Linked DNA regions of Mus musculus: all the other regions are reported to be linked to region 4. Evidence: microRNA targets listed by miRTarBase, many of them from high-throughput screens and not tested one by one. Region 4 holds a microRNA gene; each other region holds the end of a gene's coding sequence.
What was found. The annotated mature microRNA mmu-miR-532-3p reads CCUCCCACACCCAAGGCUUGCA and lies in region 4 at 2,394-2,415, shown strand. An mRNA with a match to its seed (bases 2 to 7 or 8) in the 3' UTR can be bound and repressed. Matches are read on the target gene's strand: a 7mer-m8 pairs with bases 2 to 8, a 7mer-A1 pairs with bases 2 to 7 and ends in A, and an 8mer does both.

Region 1 (5,148 bases), not on the chromosome of region 4:
ATTGGCCAGAGTGTGTTGTTAAGTAGTAGTTGAACCCAAGTCTGTATTGTGTCTTGCTTTCCATTCAATTTGCTTTTTATTTTGGGGCAAGTTACTTAACCTGTCAGAGCTGTGACTATTCCTCTCTGTGATGAAGGCAACATTAATTGTTGCATTAAGTTCAAAGTAGAGAGGAGTATAAAGTATTTACAATTCTGACCCATGCCAGACATATAGTAATGATAGCTGTATTGGCTGTATGTGTAGATGCTAGATAAGATTATATCTCATCTAAAAAAAAGATTATATCTCATTTCCCTTGACTTCCTTATCTGTCTGTCTGTCTATCATCTGTCTATTTCTCTCTCTCTTGTTATTTTTTCTTTTTAAGTTTTGGTAGTAATGGTTATACTTCATTTGGTGTACCAGTATCAGGTACATTTTTAATGAATAATCTTTAAATTCTTAGCGATCTGAGATTTTTCCCAGAATTTACCATATTTTTTTCTCCTACAGATTAAATGAAAAATACATTTGAATCCCTTTGCCCACTATTTTTCTCTCTCGGTTTTAAGAAACAAAAAGTGTTTGTACTGAAATTCAAAGTTAATTTTTCCCCCTAGGTAACCATGATGATGACAAAGGATACTGCTGTGACTCTCACTCCCTTTGAGGACACCCTGACTCGGATGCTTTTTGGCCGGCGGCAGCAGCAGCAGTTTTCATCGAGTGAAAAGAAAACTGAAGTCAAACCGTCTTCCAATGGTTCTGCCTCAAGTGCATCGAAGCGGGGAGCAGAGCCTTCGGGTGGTGCTAAGAGACACGCCAAGAAAGAAGACTGAGGGTCGCCCTGGGCGTCGGAGGCAGGAGGAGGAGTTACTTCTCTCAGAGTGTGCCCGTGGTTCTGTGAATGATGTGAGAGAGCGCTTATGTGTAAGGGTGGAGGAGACAAAAGAGGAAGTGCTTTGGTTCAGGGACACCGCTCGCTCTGCTGGTCGTAGCTCTTGGGGTCACGAGTGTATCATGTGAATTTATTTTTCTGGTGTAAGAGATTCTCATAATTATTTGGATAGTTTTATATTGATAAAAGAATAATTTTTTAAATGTTACAAAAAGTTCACTTGTTACTGCAAAATTCTAAGAATTTAACAAAAAATTCAGTATTTTTTTTTACCTTTTGAATGACTATAATTGTGTTTTAATTCTGCAGAATTAAACTTTTACTTCATATTTCCAGTATAATTCCTGTATATAGAAGACGATTCCTATTTAATTTTGAACATGGAGAACTTTTCCTAAATACTTTTTAACCTAAAATAAACTAATAGTGTACATTTGGTGTATACAGTTATTTATTTTATATATCTTGCACACATTAAAAATACCTGAAATTGTCTACAGCCATACCACCCTGAACACGCCCGATCTTGTCTGATCTCTGGAGCTAAGCAGGGTCGGGCCTGGTTAGTACTTGGATGGGAGACCGCCTGGGAATACCGGGTGCTGTAGGCTTGAAAAAAAAAACCTGAAATTTATTTTAGTTTCAAGTATTATTTTTCATTATTTTTAATATGAGTCTCAGTTTGAAGTTTATTTCTTGCCCTTGTTTTAAAAACTACTTTTTCCTTAGAAAAGCAGGGTTACAATTTGTGTGTATTGTTTTCTTTTTGCAACAGGAGTCTCACTCTGTAGCCCAGGCTGGCCACAGACCTTCTACCTCAGCTTCCAAAGTGCTGGGATTATGGGTCCGGGCCACCGTGCCAGGCTAGCGGTGTAGTTTTTATTGTTAATAATCCTGTGGTTGGAACCTGGGCTGTTTTGTGTCACCAGCTGGAGAGAGATAGTCTTCACATGTTGTATGTTTCTCCTGACTCAGTTGGTCTGAACAGGCTGGTGGCATGTCTCTGTGACTGAACAAAAAGTACTGTCATGGCTGAAACGGTGTCCTGCACCTCTTCCGGCGATCATTGCTTCACGAGTTTATTTGACTGTCTCTTCTTGCAAGTTTGCATTTGGTATCTCTGCTCAATAGATATGTGCGTGTATTTCTAGTTTTATCTGAAATGAAAGTTGTTTTCCTGTGAAAATGCTCAGCTCTCCTGAGGACTGTCTTCCCACATTTGATGTAAACCACAGAACCTAACCTTATGTGGCAGACTACTTGACTGAGACAATACAACATTAAACCTGCTGTCTCGTGGACAAAGTAAAAAGCAAGCAAGCAAACATACTAAGTGATAGATTCTATTTGCTCGATTTGGTGCATAACTGCCATGTTACAACATTACAGTTCTGTAGGATGACTTTCATCCTAAGGACGTGGGCCTGCCGTCTGTGTTAGGCATTTTTGGTTGGTTAAGAAGCACTTAAGTGATATTCAATATATAAAGTTTTCCTTTTTTGTTTTTTTTTTTTGTGTTTGTTTTGTTTTTCAGAACAGGGTTTTTCTATATAATAGCACTGACGGTTCCTTTTTTAATTTTTAGCAAACTTGCACACTTGCAGATACTTTACTTGATTAAGAAAAAGATTTTGAGTGGCACTTTTGATAACCTACGTACGAGAAAAATGCTTATTTTTGATATTGTGACAAAAAAGCACTAAATTGCATTTTCTATTATATATTTGACAATCTGTAGTTAAAAACTTTGCAAAATTAATATGTTATTGACCAGTTCTGGTTTTAACTGTAGTTAAAATGGTAAGAATCTTGTTTTTCATTTGTATTAAAAACAAATTCATTAAAATAAGTATTTTAGTATGCAAGGGGTATTCTTCTTCTTTTTTTTTTTTTTTTTTTGGTATTGTTTTGAGGAAGAAGTTCAGAGTTCTGTGTTATTTTGATACTCGTGACTCACAGTCTGAAGGGGACATGGCACTTGAGAATGGATTAGGCTTAAGACCTCCTACCCTGGATCTGCGCAGGCAGTCGACTCTCAGAGACCAGCTCTTTATTCCTTCCCTACCGGGAATCCTAGATGTGGTCCATAGGCCAGCTTCACACAGCCCAGTCTCACCTAGGGGAGCTCGGAAGCTGCTGGACCATGGCCCCCTGGGGGCAGTGATGGAGCCCCTAGCAGAATGTGCCTAAATACTTTCAACCCAGGTCACCAGATTCTTCATTCTTCCTTGCTGACAGTTTTCAGTAAGAGAGAGAGAGAGAGAGACCAGGTATGTGTTAGGTGGATTTCACTGGGAACTCGGACCAGTGGCCTTTCCAGACTGAGAGCAGTGAGGGAGTGAAGGGTGCACACCTCACTGGGTGCAATCTGTTTCTTTCAGCACACCGTGACTTTCTAATTAAAACGGACTTAAGGGAAAATATCTACTTCAAGTCACAAGTTGATTGCAATAGAGAAGAATGTTAAAAACTGAACCGTGTTTAAGATGTTTTGGAAGAAGAGGTAGAAAGACTGTAAGGTCCCCTCAGGAGGGGATGGATGACAGGGTACATGTCTTCCTGACCTAACAGGACTGAATTCAGAGACTGTCGGTGTGCACAGGGCCTGGAACTTTGAATGTAGTACAGACTGTTTGGAACTCCAGGCTTCCCCGTCCTGGTTTACGGTGTGCTGGGACTGCTTAGCTAACACAACTTATTCTTACTGTCCATCTTTTACATGAAGTAAAGTTGGTAAGTGCCTGTGCACCTCAGGATTCCTCCCTGTGTCTGTGCAGGTGTGCAGATGGAGGGTAGAGGTCACGGTTGGGGGTGTGCATGTGTGGGCATGGGTGTGCCATGGCGTGTGTATGGAGGACAGAGGACAACTTCCAGGAGTCTATTCTTTTTTTTTTTAAATATTTATTTATTATTATATCTAAGTTCACTGTAGCTGTCTTCAGACACACCAGAAGAGGGCATCCGATCTCTTTACAGATGGTTGTGAGCCACCATGTGGTTGCTGGGATTTGAACTCAGGACCTTCAGAAGAGCAGTCAGTGCTCATAACCTCTGAGCCATCTCTCCAGCACCCCCACCCCCAGGAGTCTATTCTTTTTCACCAGGTGGGTGACCAGGAGTGAACTTGGGTTCAGGCTTGGCAGTAAGTTCCTTTACCCCCTGAGCTGTCTCGATTCCCTAATCCTCTTTTTGAGATGAGGTCTCAGTTAACCTGGAGCTCACCAGGCCGACTACACTAAGCAGCAAGCCCTGCGATCCCTGGACTGGTATCATAGCTCTCTCCATAGGTGATGGGGATCTGAACATGGGTTCTCACTGCAAACACTATACCTACCACTCTACCCTCACCTCAGAAATTGAGTTTAAACAAACACCAATGGCTGTGAACTCCTGACCAGAACGTGAATATTACAAGGACTCCAGGGAATTAATATCCAGTCAATTCCTTCTCCCAAGGGACATAATATAAAAGGAATCTTAGCTCATGTAGCTATCTTAGAAACTTAACGTATTTTTAGACGCTTGTAACTTGTGTTTATCCAAAGCTCATAGTCTACTTAAGTTCCACCATTCAGTCACCCTGCTGATGAACATCAGGCTGTTTCTAACTTGGGGTGTTTCAAATAAACAATTATGAACACTTTTGTGCAGCTTTTGTTAATTATGTTCTTTTTGACAAATGGTAGAAGATATGGTGGATCATGCTTGATTTTATAAAAACAAAGCAACTTGTGTGTTTTCTTCCTCCCAAAGTGATTGTACCATTTAATGCTCCAGGACAGTGTCTTGAATGTTCTAGTTGATCTGTGTCCTTAGCCAGAGTCTCAGTATTGTCAACGTTTTAATTTTGCCCATTTCTAGGGGATGCTTTTTGGGGCCTGAGGCTTTCGTTACTCCGGCTAATGATTCTGAACACTTAGTGTCTGTTGACCATCTGACTGCCTTCCTCTGAATTATCTGCGCCCATGTGGAACCATGTTACCAGATAGACGTGAGAACTGGACAGGTTGAGTGAGCTCAGACCCCGGGAATCTGAGACCGGTAGGAGTGGAGCCGCTTCCTGCCTGTCTGTGCACCTTCTCCGGAACCATGACACCCCACTGCGGACTGGGATAGCTCCACGCCTTCAGCCAATGAGCTTCCCTTACTGGGTATTAATCCCTGGTTCACCCTGAATAAAGTGTGTTGTGTCTGGCCAGCCGACTACATGTTTGGGTTCTAGGCTGGAAAGGCATTTTGGAAACCTGGAAGAGAAGAAGGGCTAGGTG
Region 2 (5,148 bases), not on the chromosome of region 4:
TGCATGCCAGTCTCTTAGTACTGTATCTCGAACTCCTTAATAAAGGACAGCAGTGGAAAGAGCCCAGGTTTGCATTGTTTCTTTCCGGGCATCATTAACCAGTACTGAAGAAGGGGCCTTGGTGTCCCTCACTGGACCCTGTTGGCAGAGCCACCAACACTGTCCTCTGATGGCACTGCTGTGTCTCTCTACTTGTGACTCACCCTGCAGGGGTCTACACAGCTTGCCTTCCAGTTCATGCAAGCCAGACACAGACGCAGGCCTGTGTCTTTGCTTCCTGCTCATGTCACCCCGTTTCTCTGTGTGCCTGGCTATCTGACACACGGCCATTCAAACCCTGAAAATGAACTGTGGGGTTTTCAACAAGGCCTAGGACGGTGGCTCCTTCCTGCAGAAGGGTTCTCCATTTGCCTCCTGTGGACACCCATGGCCCTTTCCTGTTGAGAACTACCTCATCCCAGCTCCATGCCCCGCAGCTCTGTGCCTTGAAGCTCCGTGCCCCGCAGCTCTGCCTTGGCCTTCAAAGCTAGCAGCCATCAGAGCACTGGGTTGCTGTTGCGCAGAACCCCCAGGCTGTGCATCCCTCTCCCCAGATCTCTGGGTTGAGGTCTCATGATTTCCTTTTGTCCCCTGTGTTAGAGCCATCCAGCCAGCCCCATGCTGGCCCTGCCCCACCCACCCCCAAGAAGCTGGGAGAGAGGGAGACAGATGTAATGCTAGGCTCAGAACTTTAAGGATAAAGGGCCTCATAGACTCCAAATCAGGGAGAGTTCTCACTGTCCTAGAGGAGAGAGGAGATGGGGTCAGGAGAAGCTCATACCAGCTACTGAAGGATGCACAGGAGTTCACGAGCGAACTCCAGCAAAGGCCCAGGTAGATGACAGCAGGACATTCTAAAACAGTCCGTGCTCTCTGGTGCCTCTCTGACAAGAGAGCCCTGGGGCCACTAGTTTCCAATGTTCTGTGCCCATACCTGTTGTCATAGGGGACAGTAGCTCCTGCCAGTCCCCATATGCCCAGATTACCAGGTGAAGCCTGGTAGGGGACCCCTCATTCACAGACCACCCTCTCAGGAGTCCATTCAGACCCTGCCTAGTCTACAACAATGTCCATGCTCAACCATTGGGAACAACCCATAGCCCCTCCCCCGAGACCCCAATAGGAAGTGCATGGCCACACTCCCACTGGTTGGCTATCACCAGAGGCAGGGCTAATTTCCCCCTTTCTTTCTATCCAGAGGACACTGGCCCTTTCCTGGGCCTTCTAGATGGTTGGCAACCTCCTGTATGGAGTCCAGCTGGGTTGGTGGAGTATGGAGAGCCATTTGGGAGACAGTGAAAGGAATCAAGGATGCAGGCTTCAGGGACAGGTGGTCCTGCCATGCCTCTGTGCCCTTTAAGAAGGAGCCTCCTCAGCAAGACACGGAGGGCCATGGCCACCCTGCGGGGGTGGGGGTGGGGGTCGGGGGATGTGTGTTAGTACAACTCAGATGAAAGTCACAACCTGACTCGGAGAGCAAGACAGGAGTGGGTCCAACGTGTACAGGCATCTCTAGACAAGGCAGCTCTGCTCCCAGGATCCCTCTGCTTTGATGCTGCAGATTGCAGATGTGAAAGTGGGATGGGGTGAGTTGGGCCGGGGAGGGCGGGTGGAGGGAGAACCCACACTCCAGGTTCATCTTTCTCCGTGCTTGCCAAATTTAGCTTTGCCTATTTTTAAATTGCAAATGGTGAACTCCCCGGCACCTCGGCTAGGATCAAAGTCAGTCTTGCTGAATGTTCTTTGGAAGAGGCATTTGAAGAAGCAGGGAAACATGGGACACGCATGCCTGTCCTCCTGCCCAGGAAGCCAGCTAGGGGTAGATACAGGGGCACAATGCACCAACCCCTGCAGAAAGAAACCAGACCCTAGGGATGGCACCAGGAAGCAACCACAATGGGACCACTAGAAAGCCATGACTGTTCCCCTGGACCTGAGTCAGCATAGAGATTCAGATCTGTCTATCCTGGTATCCGTCTATCCTGGCAGCACCATCCAGGAGACAGTCGGAAGAGCTCTTTCCCTACCCTCACTGTCCCAACAGGCTCACTGTGTACATGAGAAAGCAAAAGCTTTCTCATGTAAGAAGCCAATCCTATACCACCAGGAGGTAGGCCCAGAGTCTAATCAGGGCTCTATGGTCCTGTTGTCCCAGGGACACTGGCAGGAGAGGGCTGGGTACAGAGGTAGACAGAGAACCCCTCTATAGATAGCTACCTGCTAGCCCTTCTGGGAAAGCCTAGTGAGCAGAGCCGATCACTGCAGGCGGTAGAAGATATCCTGGGGACGGTAGAAACCCTGGATGGCAGCCGCAGGAGTGGGAGGGACAGCCAGCGGGAGAGGCTGGAGAAGGCTGGCCCCCCTGCTTCTGTATTCTCACTCATTCAGGCCTGCACTCGGGGAGACACTCATGAAGATGCTACGAGGGGCCCTGAGTTCTTTGAGGATCACATCAGTCCTCTGGTTCACGGTGAGAGCTACTGATCATAGCTCTCCATCTTCCTGGGCAAGGAGTCCTAGTCTAGTATGAGGCAGACGGCAGCCACTCTGAAGCTCACCATGAGGTTTTTCAAGTGGGAAGGAAGGAGGCAGCTCCTGCCAGCAGCCTCTACCGAGATTAAATCTGGCCCGTGCTAAGACCCTGAAAGCAAGAGTCAACAGTAGGAGAGGGTCCCACCAGCCCGTGGCCCACCACAGCAAAGCCTAGAGCGAATCTGGCCAGGTACCCAGCCTGAACAGGCTCAGTATCACAAGGTAGCCACACAGATCCAAGTAACCCGAAGACCCAATGAACATGGGCCCCGTGCTACTCTCCAGGGGGGTTGTGGGGGTTAGGGGGACTGAGACACTGAGTAAACCACAAAGCTTGCCCAAAGTCATGCAATACTTCAGGCAGACTTCAGATCTGTGCCTGACTGGTTCTAAAGCCTGGGTCCCAGCAGAAGTCATTCGTTGGACAGTTATGTTCCAGGGACATGGCGGGACACAAAGTCCTGCCCAGGGATCTTGCCGAGTGTCACACAGGACAGCACAGGGTGGGACATGCTGCTTGAGGGAGAAGGAGTTACACCCCTGTGGCTCCCTGAATGAGCATCTCCCTGTATGCTCGTGGGGAAGAGACAGTAGCTTGTCCTCAGGGTGACAAGCACATTGGCCCCGTGGCACCTGAGCACAGAGGAGGCAGCCATCAGCCGGGGGAGGAGGGGACTGGCCTATTGTGGCAGCAAGGACACAGGAGCCTTGGGGCAAGGCCCAACCCAAGGCCCTGACCTGCTTCCCCAGATGGTGGTACCCTTCAATGCCTTGGACACTAAAATAAATATCCTAACACAGCATCCCTGGGCCACTTCTGGCCCTAAGACTCAGTATGACCAACACTCTTCCAGATCCCAACACACACGCAGGCTGCTTCCCTGACCTCACAGATGAAGAGCTGGGGCAGGGAGGGAAGGGGCAGGTCATGCCCGGGACCAGATCGCAGAATGGGTTAGGGGTGAAGCCATACACCACTCTGCCACATCCCAGACCTCCTCCCCTCCTTCCTCCTCCCCCCCCCTCCCCTCCCTACCTCTTTTAAGTACCACGATACCCACCCCAACCTGTGAGTGAGTCCCTGGGCCGTCGGGCATCCTAGTCACAAGTCTGATAGTGTTTGAGACTCATAGGCCTGCTCCAGGCCCCTAGGGAGCTAGGCTTCCTGTCTTCGTCCCTGTTCTACTGCTGTGAAGAAACACCATGACCACGGCAAGTCTTATTTTAAAAAGCATTTAATTGAAGCGGGTTTACAGTTTCAGAGGTTCATCATTCAGATTATCATCATGGTGGGAGGAAGCATGGCAGAGTGCGGGCATGGCGCTGGAGCAGTAGCTAAGAGTTCTACATCCTCATCTGAAGGTGGAGAGAGATCCACTGGACCTGGTGTGAGCTTCTGAAACCTCAAAGCCCACCCCCAGTGACACACTTCCTCCCACAAGGCCACGCCTCCTAATCCTCGTCATCCTTTCCAACAGTTCCACTCCCTACATGCCACACTTCCTTCTATGTGCTTCTGAGTCCCTGCTTCTCCTCGCACTCCTTCAGGACAGATGCATAGCTTTGCCCACCACAGACCACCCACCTGGCAGTGGGCAGGCAGCAAGTTAGAGGACCAGAGGTGGGTAGGAAGAAACACAGTTGTTGGTGTCTTATAGTGGGGTGGTGGTGGGGGGCGCTGAGGTGCACTGAGCTCCTGGGCAGTCACAAGCCCCAGAGCCTCACTGTCCGAAGGACCAGCAGGTGACAGTCCCATCTCAAGCTCCCCTATCTGCAGTAAGAAGGCAGGAAGACACTGCTAATATGTGTTCATTGCCAAAATCACATTAAGAAAAACCACACCAGGCGTGGTGGCACACACCTTTCATCTCAGCACTCAGGAGGCAGAGGCAGGTGGGTCCCTGAGTTCAAGGCCAGCCTGAGTTCCAGGACCACCAGGGCTACACAGAGAAACCCTGTCTTGAAAAACCAGAAACAAAACAAACAAACAAGTAAAAGACCAATCAACCAACCAAACCATACAGAGCACACGCTTACTGATTGCGTGTCACCCACCAGTCACTCGGCAAACACCTTTACTAACACACGCTTGCGCCGAGACGGCTTCTCACCCCCATGCTATAGCCGAGTCACTGAAGCCCAGCAGCTCTCGGGAGCAGCCTAACCTCCGGCCGCCTACCCAGGGGCAGGGTCTCAGTTGCCAGTTAGTGCCAGATCTTGATGTCTCCTCCCCAGGAGCAGGTCCCGAGGACAGAAGGCAGCACAGGATGGTAGGTGGTGCCAAGGCAGGCCTGCGTGTGCCCTTGTAGTGTGCACGCTCGGCTGGCCGTGCGGAAACTGAACATCAAAACCCGGCCATCAGCGCTGCCTGTCACCAGCAGGTCACCACATGGGGAACACTCACAGCCCACCGCGTAGCCTTCCACCTGTGGAGAGAGACAGCAGGCTACCTGTGAGGGATCATGATTCACCCCACGCTGCAAAGGATGAGCTGAGGCTAGGAAGCTGCTAAGCCCAGGGCTGGCTTTATCTTTAGTGACCCTGAGGTGAGAAGCTATGCTCCTGCTGTGTGCCTAA
Region 3 (5,148 bases), not on the chromosome of region 4:
ACTAACAGCCAGGGTGAACCGCCTAGTCCTCTGCTCCACTCCCCTGTGGTCTAGGTAGGATAATGGGGTGGCTGTTGCCAGGGTCCCTGGAATAGTCACAGGCTAGATGTGGTCCCTGCTTCCCACCAAGGAAGCTTGGCTTACTTTTGCTACCCACAAACACAAGTCCCTTTAGAAGGAATATTGACAGACGACAGGCGCCTGTTATTATGACATGTACCCCAAATCGTGTGCCTTACCCTATGTGCAAACTGGGGCTCAGGCCCAGGGGTTGTTCATGTTAGGGAGGACCAAGGTCAGTTACTCTCTAAACCCAAACCAGTCTTCTACCCCAACAAGGAGCCTCAGAAAACATAACCAAAGAGCAGACCATCTGTTGCAGATAAATAAGAAGTAATCTAGCAGGAGGCTTTCTCTAGGAAAACTTTACCAGGCCCCACACTGGTAGCTGCCAACATGACCATTTACTACATTTCAGCACAACTTTTGATCTTTAGTTCAAGGTTAATCAAGAAAACACCGTTGTTGCTTATATAGAACAGCTTGGTGCAGTGGTTTGCACTGTAGTCCCAGCTGCTGTGGTTTAGGCCCAGTTCAGAGCCAACGTGGACAACAGAGCAAGTCCTCAAGGTCTGATGGGATAGCTGGCAACTGAGCACCTTGCAGTCAGTCCCAGTGTCCCCTGACCTTGGTGACGACCTGTGCCCTTAGATTCCTTCAAGTATCAACCTACCCCCAACACTACCACCATCACTGGTTGGTAGCTCTCCCCTTCTTTATATGAGCACTGTGCAGTACTTTCCTGGTACGTGGCCTGCCCCTAAAGGCACTAACATTGGTGAATGAGGCCTTAATGCCTCCTCACAAACAAAGCCTCCACTTAAATCCAGTAGATCTGTGTTGCTGCTGCCCCCATTCCCAACGCTTGGGAACTAAGACCACCCACAACCGGGGAGCAACTGACACAGCTGCTCCTAACGAATGTGACTGAGATAGGTATGGTTCATCTGGCAATTCACACAAGAGAGGCCACTGGTGCTTACCTCCTATCACCCAACAGTAAGAAGCTACCAAGTGATGGTCTTGGAGGAAAGTAAACTCTACATAAGCAATTCTTACATATATAAATATAAAACCTGGGGAGTGAAAACCCAACTCCACCCTTTCTCAAGCTTTACAGCATGCAGGGTCCAGGTTGTTCAAGATTGGCCAAGCACCCAAACTCACTCGCAGCACCAAGGGCACTGTCTCAGGCAGATGCCCAGGAGCCAAAGGCTCTTAAGAGAATGTACTCTAGTCATGCTCATGTAGGGGGTGGGAACCTCCATCTGGGGATACACACCAGGCTTCTCTGTCACACCCAACAGTAGTGTCCCAGATGGGAGACCAGCCAGTGTTTTGCCTTTTCAAGTTTTTATTTTTATACATTTTTTTTGTATTAAAAAGAAAAGCATAATAATTACCACCAATTACAAAGGACTAGAGCAGGACCAGAATAATGAATGAATCACTTCAGCCTGGGAAGCAGACACTCTCAATAATATTAATGTTATAATACAAGCTCATTCAAGTATTTTACATTTTTCTTGTCCTGTTGATGTGATATCCTAGCACATGGTAAAGACAATATATGAGCGTAGGTGGAACCTTCTCTGCAAAGCCCATGAGAGTTTTCCTTTCCTGTGAGAACTGGGCTCAAAGTTTTCTTCTGCCTCTGCCGTAACCATGGCTGGAGGAGAGGGTGGGAGCTGGGGAAAACCTAGGGGCCCTGTGACAAGAGACTCTGGGGTCCCATCCAGGGGACAGGGGAACCCAAGCCTCTAGCACTCCCCACCATTAGCCTTGTCCTCAATGCCCTTTCCCTCATGTCCAGACCTTCCAAGCAGCTTGCCTTCTTTTGTAAATGTCATCAAAAAGGAGTGGGAAGGAGCTACAGAACAAAAACATTGAACAACTTGACCCGGGGCTCAGCACCTGTCTGAACCTGCGGTCCAGGCTGGAGCAGGGCCAGGCAGCCTTCCCTCCGAGTAGCAAATCTGCTCTGAGGCTCACAGGTTTGCAAACCACCATCTGCCCCTTGCTGGGGCCAGGTGGATGTCTAACCCTGCACAGGCAGAGGATGAAGGCGGTTCCATTTGGCAGGCTGTCTGTCTTAGGTCTTGGATTCCATGGGAAGATGGTGATGGGGAAGTGGCTTGCTCTGGTGCCCCACCCCCACTCCTGGCATACTTGTCACAGATACATCGGTCCTAAATTCAAGTGTCTTCAGAAGGTGAAGATGTAAACTACTCCGCAACATCAACTCTTAACATGTCACAAAAAATACACACACACACACACACACACACACACACACACACACTCCCACCCCTCCTCAGCCTGTGTTGAGATGATAGCCTTGCCTTCCCACCCCAGAGGGGCTTCTTCCCTCAGAGGGTCTGGGAGGATCTGGGAGAGAATGGCAACCCTAGTCTGGATAGCCTAGATGGAAACCACCTTCCCTGATGCTGGGCCTCAAGCCCTGAGGTTCTGTGGTGCTGGATATACAGTAGAGGGCTGAGTGAGGAGAGGAGAGGAGAAAGGGAAGCAGGGAGCCCACTGTTTGGTGAAGGTGCACCATAGGGCAGGTACCAGACTTAGGAGAAGGCCTCAGATCCCAGCAGCAGATGATCCTGTTCCCTTATTTGTTTGCGACAAGTGAGTCACAGGAGCTGACAAGGGATTCCCACATCCTAAGCACCGGGAGGACAGAGTGGGGCAAGGCATGAGCTCAAAGTAACAAGGTGCCCAAAGACAGAAGGCAAGCTCTTGTCAGCCTGGGATGCTGTGTCCCAGTCCCAACTTTTGGGACAATAGAGGAACTGGGCGATGAGGAGGGTCACACAAATTTCAGTTAAGCTAGCAAAAAGACCACACCCCCTTGTGCCACCTAGGTCCAAGTGTAGGGTTAGCATGAAGTCTCCCAGCCTGTGTGCTCAGTCCTTCATTACCCTCCTCAGCTCCTGGTGACAGCAGCCTCCAGCCACTCCTCTGGCATCTCAAGTGCAGCTCAGGCAGTCTGGCTTTTGAAGAGAAGTCAGGTATACTCTATGTCCACATATACCTTCCTGCCATGGGGCTTCACCAAACGGTAGGATTCCCCAGCCCTTGGTTCCTCTCACCCCCTTGATCCCAGGCAGGGCCAATGAGAGGGTGGGCAGAGATGGCTTGCAGGGGGTGGTGGTAATAAGATGGAAAGACAACACCAGACCCTTAGAGAATGGTACCTTTTCTCCACCTCCTTGAGGTCAAAGGTCGTTAAGGTTAGACACAGACCTAAGCTGTGGACATCAGTGGGTGTTCAACCCCTTGTTCTGGAGTTGGGGAGATGTGCACACTGAGGACAAGTGTGTACCAGGCAAGACCAATTATGTTTACAACAGTCTGAAGCAAACTTGGCCTTGGGGTTTCCCAGGGCTTGGCTGGGCGGGGCGGGGCGGAGCAGAGCTGAGTGGGCCTGGAGAGGCGACAGCAAGCACAACAAGGACAGTGGCAACAGTGTGCAGACACAGGACATTGGCTTCAGACAATGCAACAGCAGGGGTGTCCTGGGCACAGCTCTGATAGAACTGCCCCAACTCTTGCCTCCAGGTAGGAGGCCCCGTACATGCAACTCAGTCTCGAGGAAAGTTCTAGTCAGTCCAAGTCCAGGGACATCCCGGGCAGGTGGAGCTCTTCCGGAGGCTCAAGGAAAACAGGCATTTGGGCATTAGTTCAGGTTCCCGCTCCACAATAAGGCAACTTTTAAAAAAATATTATTTCCAAAAACAGAACAGAAGAAAAATTCCAAGGAGGGGGAAAGACATCACTTTCTATGGAGTAGGTGGGCTCTGGTTTTTTGTCTTTTTTTTTTTTTTAAAGTGGTCGATTTTGTCTTTTTTTTTTCTTTCTTCTTTCTTTCTTTTTTATTTTCGTTTTTGTTTTTTTTTTGTTTTTTTGTTTTGTTTTTCTGTTTTCCCAAGGATGGAAAGGTCAGAGAAAAAATAAAATGAATCATCTTTCAATAGTCTCTTCTGGTGTGAGCAGCGTCTCTGGGGTGGGGCGAGGGGGCGAGGGGAGAGGCTGAAGCTCCCACCCCCACTGAGATCCTTTGGTTTCCTTCCCCCAGAGGTGGCAGAAGGGCATGTGGAACAGCAGGGACACGGTGATGGCAAACCCCAGGTGATCAAGGGGCTGGTGCTTCTGGGGCCCATGGGCACCGCCAGAGCCTTCTGGTGGGCTGCATAGTTGGCTTGAGGGAAGCGGGAAGAGGCAGGGGAGACAGGTCGGCATAATAGCCGCAGGAAGGGCTAAAGAGTGATTTTGGTAATCCAGACAAACTATCAATAATTTAAAACTTGATATATATATATGTATATATATATATATATATATATAAAATCTCCCCCCTTCCCCTCCCCCCTTAGAAGTTATGATGGAAGTCATGGTGACAGGAGGGATGGGGTACTTGGAGGCTCCTGCCCAGGAGCACCGCTAATAGCCCAAATGGTATACACTGCTACTTAGCGCAAAGGCCCATTCTTAGTACTCTAGGTCTGTCCCTTCTCTTGTTCGCTCTTCTGGGCACCCCACAGATCCTCAACCACCCCACCCCTCTATCACAAACCCCAGGGGGCTTCAGGCCATTCACTTTCGCAAAGTCAGTGTGTCCGAGTGCTGGCTTGTCCATTTGGCATCTTCTCGAGTGGCCTGGCCAGTAGGTGTCGTAGGGGGTTGGCTGATCCCAGTGGCAGGCCTGCTGGAAGACTGGGAAGGGCACCGCTTCCTGCCCTCTCCGCTGCCTCCTGCTACCACTGGGTGTCGCTTGTGGTTGCCTTCCTCGCCCATGGGGGGCTGTAACAGAGGAGTCACAAGTGGTCAGAGAACACTAGCCACACCACTTTCCAGAACCAATCAGGTCTCCGTTCCATCTCCAAATGAGGACAATGGTTTGATTTACATCCTGTCCTTTCATGTGGACAGTACCAGAAATAAGGAAACGGACCAAACACATAATTTGTCAAAGGCTTCCTATATTTAGGTCCATATCCTTAAAGACCAGAGTTTGACCCTATAAATTTTTGTCCCCTTCTACAAAGGGTCTCTTAGGAAAAGACCTGTGGTGTGTGG
Region 4 (5,148 bases):
ATCATATCTGGTTTAAGCTTTGGACTTTTTCCACTTCTCATCAATCTTGAGCTAATCTGGTCTTGCAGCTGTATTTGTAAGTAAATACCTCCTTCGTAGGTATTTACTTTCATATTTATGTTGCTGAATTCCATATGTTTTCATTCAATTGTATATTAGACATCTGCCCCAGGTGTCTAATAAGCATCTAAAACTTTAATGCATCCAAAGCCGAAATCCTGGTTTTCTTCCCTTGCCTTTCAAACAGACCAGCTCCCCTTCCAGTGTTGTGTAACAACAGCTGCATCCCCTAGGTGCTCAAGCCAAGATTACAGAGCATTTGAGTAGGTTGAGTCTCTGGAAGGATCTTTGAAATTTATTTTTTTAGACTTTAAGTCCAAGGCATTATGAAATGCAGTTGGCTGTACTTTTAAAACAGGTCCAATCTAACACACATTAGAAGTGGCTAATATCCCATTGCCTCTAGTACTTCCACTTTCATTACCTCTTCCCTGGGCTCAAAAGCCTTGTGCTCTACCTTTTGTGTGAGCACACAAATATGATCAGGAGATAAAGCCCACTTTTCCGGCTTTCTTTCTGATGGCTCACATTACACATTCTCAGCTTTCTTTTTTGTTTGTTGATTTTTATTTTGATCACATGATTGTACAATGTAAAGCAGTCAGGTCTCCAACTTGCTATTCACCTGCCTCAGCCTCTCATTGCTGAGATTATGGAGGGTGTACTGCTACACCCAGATTATATCCTATAATCATTCTTTCTAGCTGTTCTTTAAGTATGACCTGGTATTGTTTCATCTGTAGGACAGGGAACATGATCATTACTTCATAGATATTTGTGGGAACAAATTAGTTGTATATGAAAAGTACTTAATGTTGCAGATTGGTTCTAATGTTATTTGTGTTAATTTGGCTCCTGAAATCATATGGGAGCCCACATGTCTGTGCTGAGGGTCTCTGCTCCTAGTTGGCTCTGATTGGGAAATAAAGTTGCCAGTGACCAGTGACTGGGCAGGGAGACAGAAGCCAGACTTGCAGGATTCCCCAGCAAGAAGCACAGCAGAGAAGGAAGAGGGGATTCCACAATGACAAGGGCACAAGTGACAGACTATGCAGGGAAGGTACAGGAGGGAGAGACAGCTGAAATGTAGGTACAAAGGTGTTGTGTCTGGCCAGTAGATCACAACCTGGGTTCTAGCCTGGAAAGGCATTTTGGAAACCTGGAAGAGAAGAGGGGCTGGGCTGCGCGAGATAAGGAAGGAACCAAGACAAAGCTCTCTGCTCACGGTTCAATTTTTACTATTTTGGCACTCAGTTATAAAGGAAGGGGGAAGGGGCCCAATTCCCGCCAAATAATCTTGGGATCCAGTAGCAGGGTGATCACGTGATGGCTTCGGAACAGCAAAGCGGCAGGTTCCAGCAGTAGGCGTGGCAGAAAGATTGAGCGGGAAGCTCCACCCCTGAGCAAGCAAGGTTTCAGGCTGGGGGAGGGGAGACTACACAAAGGGGAAGGTGGCCCCAGAAGGGCTGCCCAAAAGGGTTCAGGACAGCAAAGATAAAATATAGATTTAATAAATTTTAGCTCAGGAATGTGGGAGGGGAGTGTGTTAGCTATGTGGAGGTTCAGGTGAATGCTCTCATCCAGTGGTTGGATGAGAGCATCCACCATAGCAGAAACAACAATATGAACCAACCAGTAGCCCCAGAGCTCCCAGGGACTAAACCACCAACCAAAGAGTACACATGGAGGGACTCATGGATCCAGCTGCATAAGTAGCAGAGGATGGCCTTGTTGGACCTCAATGGGAGGAGAGGCCCTTGATCCTGAGAAGGCTCGATGCACCAGTATAGGGGAATACCAAGGCAGGGGAGTGGGACTGGGTGGGTTGGTGAGCAGGGGGAGGGGGATGGCAAAGGGGGTTTTCAGAGGGAAAACCAGGAAAGGGGATAACATTTGAAATGTAAATAAAGAAAATATCTAATTTAAAAAAAAGAAACATAGAAGAGCTTAACAAATTACCACAACTTAATACTCTACCAAGAGCAAATATAAACTGGCATTGGGAATAAAAAGAAAAGAATATTAAAAACAACTGGAAGAGGGGGCAGTGAGTGGAATATAAAGTGAATAAATAAAATGAATAATTAAGAGTATAAAAACAAATAGTCCATAGGAAGTGAACACTCCTAAAGGCATATATGTGCATGTTCACAAATACACCTTTTCATTGTGCTATGTCTAAGGCAGTCATCATACCTTTCAGGACCAACATACAACACAGACAAAGACACACTGTTGTACATGCATGCTGATTTGTACACAGGAGAGCACGCCTACAGATTTGCTTTTTCTCTTCCATGCCTTGAGTGTAGGACCGTTGACATCTTAATTACCCTCCCACACCCAAGGCTTGCAGGAGAGCAAGCCTTCTCTTCTCTCTCCTGTGCATAGGCATGACTGCATATACATCTACAGCAAAGACATGTCTCCTCTCTCTCATGTGCTCTCTGTGTGGCGCATATATATATATATATATACATATATATATATGTATATATATACACACAGCATTGCCATTCGCTATCTCTTCCAAGTGACTTTCCTGCCTGTAATGCCCCTCTTGGTCCGCATGTGTGTGTTCCTCCTGCCTTACCCACCATCAGTTTCATGTAGCTGGTTTGTTGTTTCTGCGTGATCCCTGGGCTGCTTTCTGTTGCTTTTTCCATAGAAAGTACCTACCTGTTGTGCCAAGAGAGTGAACCCTTCCCTGCTCCCTCTCTCACATCCCTTGCATGGTGGAGGGTGAGCTCTCTGAAAACCCCTCCCACATGCAGGGTTTGCAGGATGGTGAGCTTCAGCTTTCCTTGCTCTCTTGTGCATGGTGGACATATGCATACACAACTTCATAAAGAAAACCCCACATACCCAAGGAAACAGCCATCTGTCCTGTCTTCCACCTGACATGCACATCTCACAGTTTTCTTTCTCCAGGGAGGGCTCATGTGTCCCATGCTGCCTTTGAACTCCCTGCATAGCTAAGGATGATGATGGAGCACTTTTTTTCGAGACAGGGTTTCTCTGTATAGCCCTGGCTGTCCTGGAACTCACTCTGTAGACCAGGCTGGCCTCAAACTCAGAAATTCGCCTGCCTCTGCCTTCTCAGTGCTAGATATAAGACTGGAGTGGCTATGCCTGGCTTGATGTTCCAATTCTGATCTTCATGCCTCTTTGTCCTGAATGCTAGGATTATAGGAATGTACGCCTGGTTTCTGCTGTGCTGGGGATGGAACCCAGGGTTCTGTGAGTTCTAGGCATACTTTTATCAACTGAGTTATATTTCCAGCCTTCTTACCTTCTAATTTTGTATTGTATTTTGTACAGAGTATGGACCCTTACCTTTGGTGACAGTTATTGCTTAGAAAGAAGGGAAGTCTTTTGTCCTGGTCTTGCTTTTCCTGTATATAGGGGAGCAGAGAGAGCCTTCTCAGGACTCTCATTCTCAAGTTAGCTGGAAAGAAAGCCATCTAGCTATTTCTCATAAGCTTATGCTATGAGGAAATTTGCACGTACTTCTTTAGATGCATTTGTTCACATATATACTAGATTTCAGGGAGTGGAAAAACCCGCACTGTGTCCTGCTTTCTCACATATATATTTCTTTGTGCAGGAGAGTGTATGATAGCTTTAAGACATTTATTTGGATAGTTCTTTTTTGTTTGATACTGAAACTCTTTCTCTTGAAAGCTGGAACTTTTTTCCTCATCCTGTTCCAGACCCAGGGTTCACAGCTGATTTGTTTGGTAGGCTATTCAGCAAATGTCGCTTGGTTATCTTTTTTACTTTGAGTATTTTCCTATGCACCCACGTACACAGCACTAATCAGGGCTATTAGGGAGATGAAGGCAGTAAACAAAATGATTAAACACGCAGTGGGTCATTGTTGCCCAGGAGAATGAAAAAGCAAGGGAAACAAGTATGTAATGCGTGGAGTGACAATAGTAGGGAAAGTGGTGGCATTTCAGTTTCCAGTGGAGCCTTTAGGAAAGGCTGCTGTGTACTGAGAGCATCAATGCCATTGAAGCAGCAGCAGAAGTGTGGAAGGCTTCAGTCACAGATGGAGGGAAGAGCACTGATGATTAGTGTGAATCTGCACAAAAGGAAGGATTGTTTTCTTTTTGTAATCCAACAAAAGTCATTGTGCCATTATCATGTTTAGAAATAATTACCGATTCTTTGACATCATATATCCATTGTTCAAATTTCCATTTCTTTTGGAGGTATCATAAACTAGGATCTAAATAAGACCCTTGCATTAATTTCATTGGCCAGTATTTTAAGTGCCTTTGAATTATAAGCCCGTCTTTACCTTTTTCCTCATACTTATTTGTTGGAAGAAAGTAGGTCATATATCTGCGTGGCTTTCCACAGTCTTGTGTTTTTATGAGCACATTCCTCTGATGTAGCTTCCATGCTCCTTTTATTTGCATTTCCTATTAATTGAGAGTTGTATCCAAGAGCCTTATTAGATTCAGGCTTAATTTGTGGGGAGGAAAGAACTGCCTCCATTCAGAGATACAGGTCTTTGTGTGTTACGGTAGTTTGCCATTGATGCTCAAATCCTAGAGCCATTATTTCATTAGCAGTTGTAGAATGGTGGCATTCCACTATTCACCCTCCTGTTAATTGCTGGGTAACTTCTGTAAAGTAAAAACTTCCCCTCATTTACTATTTGATTACCTACTAATAACAGTTTTCCTAAGAAAGAAAAGGTAAATGCTTGACTCTCTTATCAGGGCTAAAAATGAGTTATTGCAAAGATATGCATTCAAAAACTATTTTGATAAACACAGGGATTTAAATGTATTTAGTTTTTCCCTCATTGCAGTTCTTCTCTGCAGTGAAGCCCAAATCTTCCATCTTCTGCCAGTGTGAGCTTCTTCAAATATGGTGTCACATGTCTGTAACTCTGCACTTAAGGTATGAAGACAGGAATATCATTGCAAGTTTGAGGCTACCATAGGCCACTTAGTGAGTACTGTGCCAATATAGACCCTGTCGCTGAAAGTCAAGCTTAGTTGGCCTTCAGTCCTTTGGCTCTAGTAGTTACTTGATAACTTCTCTGCCTTCAAGGATGCAACAGTGCTTCTT

Region 1: miRTarBase lists Tmem38b as a target of mmu-miR-532-3p. Seed matches in the 3' UTR shown: 7mer-A1 at 1,456-1,462.
Region 2: miRTarBase lists Wdr25 as a target of mmu-miR-532-3p. Seed matches in the 3' UTR shown: 7mer-m8 at 4,004-4,010.
Region 3: the mRNA of Larp1 is a reported target of mmu-miR-532-3p. Seed matches in the 3' UTR shown: 7mer-m8 at 4,108-4,114, 7mer-A1 at 2,959-2,965 and 7mer-m8 at 2,362-2,368.

Annotation. Positions count from the first base shown.
Region 1 is chr4:53,859,280-53,864,427 of GRCm38, forward strand. Tmem38b (transmembrane protein 38B) reads left to right here. Exons shown (of 6, transcript NM_028053.2): 6 at 603-2,739. The coding sequence ends at 821. It also overlaps LOC115490001. Among named protein-coding and RNA genes, the nearest start is that of Tmem38b, 36 kb to the left of the region's middle.
Region 2 is chr12:109,027,095-109,032,242 of GRCm38, reverse strand. It overlaps Wdr25 (WD repeat domain 25), which reads right to left. Exons shown (of 7, transcript NM_177602.3): 7 at 3,791-4,997. The coding sequence ends at 4,776. It overlaps Begain (brain-enriched guanylate kinase-associated), which reads left to right. Exons shown (of 7, transcript NM_001163175.1): 7 at 1-61. Among named protein-coding and RNA genes, the nearest start is that of Gm52002, 16 kb to the left of the region's middle.
Region 3 is chr11:58,058,283-58,063,430 of GRCm38, reverse strand. Larp1 (La ribonucleoprotein domain family, member 1) reads right to left here. Exons shown (of 19, transcript NM_028451.1): 19 at 1,397-4,872. The coding sequence ends at 4,666. Among named protein-coding and RNA genes, the nearest start is that of Gm12248, 32 kb to the left of the region's middle.
Region 4 is chrX:7,245,686-7,250,833 of GRCm38, reverse strand. It overlaps Mir532 (microRNA 532), which reads left to right and starts at 2,337; the gene lies at 2,337-2,432. All of the region lies in intron 2 of Clcn5 (chloride channel, voltage-sensitive 5), which reads left to right. It overlaps Mir188 (microRNA 188), which reads left to right and starts at 2,778; the gene lies at 2,778-2,845.